Macaca mulatta: one gene and its partner. The protein of the gene in region 2 interacts with the protein of the main gene of each other region in a pairwise test. Links are inferred from orthologs where the notes say so. Each region holds a gene or a part of one and is shown on either strand. Other genes may lie near its edges.

The links.
Region 1: the proteins of NXF1 (region 2) and SRSF1 interact in binary tests that used the Homo sapiens proteins (3 or more experiments, as listed by UniProt). The link is inferred for Macaca mulatta from reciprocal best matches to the Homo sapiens genes NXF1 and SRSF1.

What each region holds. Positions count from the first base shown.
Region 1 is NC_133421.1:51,982,240-51,986,363, forward strand, and holds the start of SRSF1 (serine/arginine-rich splicing factor 1), read left to right. Parts: upstream 1-1,321; 5' UTR 1,322-1,524; coding exon 1,525-1,718; intron 1,719-2,126; coding exon 2,127-2,311; intron 2,312-2,678; coding exon 2,679-2,851; intron 2,852-3,034; exon of another isoform or gene 3,035-3,051; coding exon 3,052-3,246; 3' UTR 3,247-3,611; coding exon of another isoform or gene 3,612-3,650; 3' UTR 3,651-4,124. UniProt on the Homo sapiens protein: Plays a role in preventing exon skipping, ensuring the accuracy of splicing and regulating alternative splicing.
Region 2 is NC_133419.1:11,264,697-11,267,626, reverse strand, and holds the end of NXF1 (nuclear RNA export factor 1), read right to left. Parts: intron 1,083-2,930; exon of another isoform or gene 1,042-1,082; coding exon 981-1,041; intron 859-980; coding exon 820-858; 3' UTR 513-819; downstream 1-512. Other genes in the region: TMEM223 (transmembrane protein 223), read right to left, coding at 56-371.

The sequences.
Region 1 (4,124 bases), on a different chromosome or scaffold from region 2:
GGAGTCTTACTCTGTAGCCCAGGCTGCAGCGCAATGGCGCGATCTCGGCTCACTGCAACCTCCACCTCCAGGGTTCTAGCGATTCTCCTGCCTCAGCCTCCCGAGTAGGCTGGATTACAGGCGCCCGCCACCAAGCCCGGCTAATTTTTTTTTTTTCAGTAGAGACGGGATTTCACCATGTTGGCCAGGCTGGTCTCGAACTCCTGACCTCAAGTGATCTGCCGCCTCTACCTCCCAAAGTGCTGGCGTGAGCCACCGCGCCCAGCCTAATTTTAATTTGAATTCATTAGCGACGTTTAAAAATCCCAGGATTTCACATAAAAATCCAGATTGCAGACGTCGAAAAAAAATGTAAAATGTTATCTCCCAATGTCGCAGGCAAATAAGATCACAGTCCTGAATAGCAACCGCGGTCTCTAGTGGACACGGCTCTCATCCATTTCGGTCCATTTTATTACCTGGGAGGACCGGTATTTTCAATTTCAGTAACTTTTAGAGGAAACTTTTGAAAAAAGGACTGCACACACGCACCTTTTCTTCCTTCTCGTTCTTTAAAAGGAAACAACAGAAACAATTCATTCTGCAGGCAATCTGCGCTAGTCCCACGGATAGGCGATTAACAAGAGATAAAGAGGTGTGGGTACCAGAAGCAGTACTGTTACCCCTTCTGGTTGGCGGGTACCACGTTGAAAGGTCGGGGTACGGGCCCACTGCGACTAGCACAAAGAGTGCTGAACTGAGCTATGCAAAGTTCTGACGAGAAGGTGGAATGGTTCTTAATGAAAAGGATTAAGGAATCTAAACCGGTTTCGCTAAATTAGACACATCTGTCTAAGCAGCCACAGCTTGTTCGCAGCAGGGGCGGGAAGACAAACCAACGCCCCAGCTCTCTATTCAGTCACCGGCAACTCAGCTCTGGACTAGACGCACTCTACGAAGATACCCGGGTTTCCGGAGCAACGGCCCGAGCCCTCCCCCTTTAGCCCCGCCTCCGAGTCTCTTTCCCGCCAAAGGCCGTTATCGCCGCAGAGCATGGTGGGACAAGGCTTTAGGCTAGGTTTCACCAAGTCCTTTGAAGGCGCCGAGTTGCTTTCAAAGCTCCTCATTCCTGGGGAAATTGACTATCCTTCAAGACTCGACCTGGATGACTAGCTCCTTTAACGAGAGTTCTTTATTTAACTTTTACCAAACGGCTGCTCACTCTATTCGCAAACCACCCCAAGCGGGGAACGCGGGGGACTTTTTTTCCCCCTTCGTGCGGAGGGTGACGTCGCGCGTGCGTGCGCGTGCGTTGCGCGTATCCCTCGCAGCACCCGTTGCGCTCCCGCGCGTGCGTGTTGGGATCGAATCGCTGTTTCCTTCCGCTTCTCTTCCTCTGTCTCCCCCCCATATCCGTGCGCCGAGCTGATAAAGGCGCCATTTTGGAGGGGCCGCGGGAGACGTGGTGCCGCTGCGGGCTCGCTCTGCGGTGCGCTAGGCTTGGTGGGAAGGCCTGTTCTCGAGTCCGCGCTTTTCGTCACCGCCATGTCGGGAGGTGGTGTGATTCGTGGCCCCGCAGGGAACAACGATTGCCGCATCTACGTGGGTAACTTACCTCCAGACATCCGAACCAAGGACATTGAGGACGTGTTCTACAAATACGGCGCTATCCGCGACATCGACCTCAAGAATCGCCGCGGGGGACCGCCCTTCGCCTTCGTTGAGTTCGAGGACCCGCGGTGAGGCGGCATGGGGCTTGCAGCCTTGAGGAAATAGGTCCGAGTAGTCGGGGAAGGCTCCAAGGCCTTAACATAGAGAACGGGGAAGCGGGGGCTCTTAGAGAGGTTGGGGCGAGACTGTATCGCCCATGCAGGAGTCGAGTAAGGAGCTGAGTTGGTGTGGCTTCTCTGGCGCCTCGCCTTGGACGTCCCCGGAGCCCATTCGCAGGCTGGAGCGGGAAACTGAGGCGCTGAGGGCTGGTGTAGTGGTTGGGAGCCTGGCGTGTTTCTGGGTGGGGGAGGGGCCATTCCTATTATGCGGCGCATGTGGGCTCTTCCACGTTGGGTGCGCATGTGCGGGGGGTTCCCGACTGAGCGAGCTTCTCCTCCTGGTCTTTCTCATGCCTTTTACTTTCTGCGATCCCGCAGAGACGCGGAAGACGCGGTGTATGGTCGCGACGGCTATGATTACGATGGGTACCGTCTGCGGGTGGAGTTTCCTCGAAGCGGCCGTGGAACAGGCCGAGGCGGCGGCGGGGGTGGAGGTGGCGGAGCTCCCCGAGGTCGCTATGGCCCCCCATCCAGGCGGTCTGAAAACAGAGTGGTTGTCTCTGGTGAGTGTACTTGGTTGTGTGGATTGATGTGAAGGGACGGAAGCTACCTAAAATTTTTGTCTTGCATGATCGGTTTAACAATTGCAAATTTTTCATGCTAGGTCTTAAATTGCTTTAGTTTTTGGGTGAATTTAATAAACGAGGATTGCTGCTGTGGTGATTTACCAAATTAGGTTGCGGTACTAGATACGAAGATCCGTTACAAATAATTTTGGACTCTGGATCCCAGAATCTTACCAGCTCTTTACCTGGTATCACTTAAGTACACCTATTAAGTATTTTAAAGTACTCTTTGTTCTAATGTACCTTACCAGCTTAACGTGAAATTTAAGATAATTGATACTAAGAAAAAAAATCACTTTTTCAGGACTGCCTCCAAGTGGAAGTTGGCAGGATTTAAAGGATCACATGCGTGAAGCAGGTGATGTATGTTATGCTGATGTTTACCGAGATGGCACTGGTGTCGTGGAGTTTGTACGGAAAGAAGATATGACCTATGCAGTTCGAAAACTGGATAACACTAAGTTTAGATCTCATGAGGTAGGTTATACGCTTATTCTTTTCTTTGACCAGAATTGGATACAGTGGTCTTAACAGTGGAATTTGAAGGTAAGAATTCAGGCAAGGGTGTCCAAGTAAATTGCCAGATTTCTGGTTGTAGTTGCATTGTATGCATTCAGCATGCCTGAAGATAGATGAAAGCTTAGATCTTTCAATGGAAAGTTCTGTCTATCCAATAGGGAGAAACTGCCTACATCCGGGTTAAAGTTGATGGGCCCAGAAGTCCAAGTTATGGAAGATCTCGATCTCGAAGCCGTAGTCGTAGCAGAAGCCGTAGCAGAAGCAACAGCAGGAGTCGCAGTTACTCCCCAAGGAGAAGCAGAGGATCACCACGCTATTCTCCCCGTCATAGCAGATCTCGCTCTCGTACATAAGATGATTGGTGACACTTTTTGTAGAACCCATGTTGTATACAGTTTTCCTTTATTCAGTACAATCTTTTCATTTTTTAATTCAAACTGTTTTGTTCAGAATGGGCTAAAGTGTTGAATTGCATTCTTGTAATATCCCCTTGCTCCTAACATCTACATTCCCCTCGTGTCTTCGATAAATTGTATTTTAAGTGATGTCATAGACAGGATTGTTTAAATTTAGTTAACTCCATACTCTTCAGACTGTGATATTGTGTAAATGTCTATTCTGCCCTGGTTTGTGTGAACTGGGATGTTGGGGGTGTTTGTGGTTATCTTACCTGGGGAAGTTCTTATGTTTATCTTGCTTTTCATGTGTCTTTCTGTAGACATATCTGAAGAGATGGATTAAGAATGCTTTGGATTAAGGATTGTGGAGCACATTTCAATCATTTTAGGATTGTCAAAAGGAGGATTGAGGAGGATCAGATCAATAATGGAGGCAATGGTATGACTCCAAGTGCTATTGTCACAGATGAAATTGGCAGTATTGACCTTATACTAAAAGGCAGGGGTTAAAAATGATTATATACGTTTTCCTTAAAACACTTGCAAACATTTTATTCAGTTATCTTTAGCTACAATTGCTTTGCTCTTTAAACCTTGGCAATTGTGGCAAAATTATATTGCCCATTTTGTAGCAACTTATTTTGCTCCCTTCCCCCCATTTTTGTTTTAATAGGGACTAATGTGGGAAGAACTGGCTAATTTGTCACAGTGCTTAGTTACAACTGTTAATGTGTGACCTGCTGTTGGTGTACATGTGGGTACAGGGTGTCTTTAAATCCAACAAGATAGAGTATAATATCAATACTGCTAAATCTGCATGTCCTCTGTGTGAC
Region 2 (2,930 bases):
AGGTCGTGTCCCGCCACCCCACGTTGCCATAGTGGGAAGCCAGCCCACGTCTTACCGATGGCGCCGCAGCCGACGGCCAGACCATAGCGCCAGAGCGCGGAGCGCAGGTCGAAGGGGCCACGGTTTGGGACCTCCGCATCCAGAGGCTTCACCCGGACCGGGTGCCGGGACACGGCTACCACAGCCAGGGAGGCCCAGAAGACGCCCTGGCCAGCGCAGAACAGCCCGAGGATGGTGAAGAAGCGGCCCCGATCATGCTCAAAGAGCAACACATCCCGTTGCAGCGTCGCGCCTTGCAGGGGCCGGCGCGTGGGCAGGGGTCGCAGCACAGTTAGCAGCCCCGTGGGCCACCGCCTCCAAGGCGCCGCCATGGCCAGCCGACTTCCGGGGTGGGACTTCCTGTCGCGGAGCCGCCTCCCGCCCTCCCTGGCCCCCCCCTCCCCCGCCCCGCTAGAGGGCCCGCCCTCCCGCTCAGGGCTGGGAGGAGACAACCAATCCAGAACGCAGAACACAAAATACAACATCACTCTTTATATTAAAAAGTAAGGAGGTCCTGGGGTTAAGTACACAAAGCACCTAAATCCTTCGGGTAGTTTAGTGTCAGTTCTACAAAGTAAGCTTTGGCTTCCGGGCATCAGTGAGGCTCAATCTTCTGAAGGCTTCCAGGGCAGGCGAGGAGAGGGATCAGGCAGCCCTCCCTCCCTCGGTCACAGTCACGGGGCGGCCTAGGGCCAGACAGGAGGAGATGACAGACGACAACCAGATGGTAATATCCAAGGACTATTTACAGGGGAGGCTGCTTCTGGGGCATGACTACAATCACTTCATGAATGCCACTTCTGGGATCTCGCCCTTGGCCTGGAGAAAAATGAAGGTCAGTAGAGGCAGGCCTACCATCTCCACTCAGCAACCCCAGCTAACCTGACCTCCGGAAGGCCCAGAGATCCTAGTGTTTTTGCCACTGTATTTCCAGACCTTACCTTGAGATGAGTGAAGGCCTGGGCAGATCTGGTGTAGTCCCAGTTGTTGTCCTGAAGGCACCTGGAGTGGAAGAACAGGCAGCTCTGTAAGAACTCTGACCCCTAAATGCCAGTTGGAAGTCCATTCCATAAAAGCACCCAGGTTTGCCAACAAATATGTACATTCTTATACATCCTTGCACTATTTATACAAATGAGAAATTAGTAAAAGTCCAAATGTTCTACCAATGGCTTATCAAAGATAAGGAATATTAAATAGCTGTCAAGAAGTCCAAGATACTTTTTACAGTGGTAGGGAAAGATGTTCATGGTGTAAGTAAAGAAACTAAGTTGCAGAACAGTATATGAAAAGGAACTTCCATTTGCCTTTAACGTTTTTTTTTTTTTGAGATGGAGTCTCACTGCCGCCCAGGCTGGAGTGCAATGGTGCGATCTTGGCTCACTGCAACTTCTGCCTCCCAGGTTCAAGTCATTCTCCTGCCTCAGTCTCCCGAGTAGCTGGGATTACAGGCGCCACCACCATGTCCAGCTAATTTTTGTATTTTTAGTAGAGACAGATTTCACTATGTTAGCCAGGCTGATCTCGAACTCCTGACCTCGTGATCCGCCCACCTCGGCCTCCCAAAGTGCTGGGATTACAGGCGTGAGCCACCGCGCCCGGCAACCTTTAAAAATTTTTATGCTAGGCCGGGCGCGGTGGCTCACGCCTGTAATCCCAGCACTTTGGGAGGCCGAGGCGGGCGGATCACAAGGTCAGGAGATCGAGACCACGGTGAAACCCCATCTCTACTAAAAATACAAAAAATTAGCCGGGCGCGGTTGTGGGCGCCTGTAGTCCCAGCTACTCAGGAGGCTGAGGCAGGAGAATGGTGGGAACCCGGGAGGTGGAGCTTGCAGTGAGCCAACATCGCGCCCCTGCCCTCCAGCCAGGGGGACAGAGTGAGACTCCATCTCAAAAAAAAAAAAAAAAAAAAAAATTATGCTAATTTATGCACAGGCAAATTTTTTGTAGACTATCAGGGTTTTTTGGTTTTTTGTTTTTGAGACGGAGTCTTGCTCTGTCACCAGGCTGCAGTGCAGTGGCACGATCTCGGCTCACTGCAACCTCCGCCTCCTGGGTTCAAGCAATTCTCCTGCCTCAGCCTCCCGAGTAGTTGGGACTACAGGCATGGACCACCAAGCCCCACTAATTTTTGTATTTTTAGTACAGATGAGGTTTCACCATGTTGTCCAGGAAGGTCTTGATCTCTTGACCTCATGATATGCATGCCTCAGCCTCCCAAAGTGCTGGGATTACAAATGTGAGCCACCTTGCCTGGCCAACTATTAGGTTTTTTTAAGCAGCCAAAAGCTTTGCCTTTTAAAATTTCAGGAACCCAGGCACGGTAACTCACACCTATAACCCCAGCACTTTGGGAGGCCTAGGTGGGCAACATGGTGAAACCCCATCTCTACAAGGAAATACAAAAAAATGAGTCAGGTGCTGTGGCCTATGCCTGTAATCCCAGCTACTCAGGTGCCTGAGGTGGGAGAATCACCTGAGCCCTAGCAGTTGAGGCTGCAGTGAGCTGTGATTGCACCACTGTACTCCAGCCTGGGCATCAGAGTGAGACCCTGTCTCAAAACAACCAAATAAAAATCTGGCTGGGCGCAGTGCCTCACGCCTGTAATCCCAGCACTTTGGGAGGCCACAGTGGGCAGATCACGAGGTTAGGAGTTCAAGACCAGCCTGGCCAACATAGTGAAACCCTGTCTCTACCAAAAAAAAAAAAAAATACAAAAAATTAGCCAGGCATGGTGGCATGTGCCTGTAATCCCAGCTACTCGGGAGGCTGAGGCAGGAGAATTGCTTGAGCCTGGGAGGCAGAGGTTGCAATGAGCCAAGATCGCACCACTGCACTCCAGCCTGGGCAACAGAGCAGGACTCCATCTCAAAAAGAAAAAAAAAAG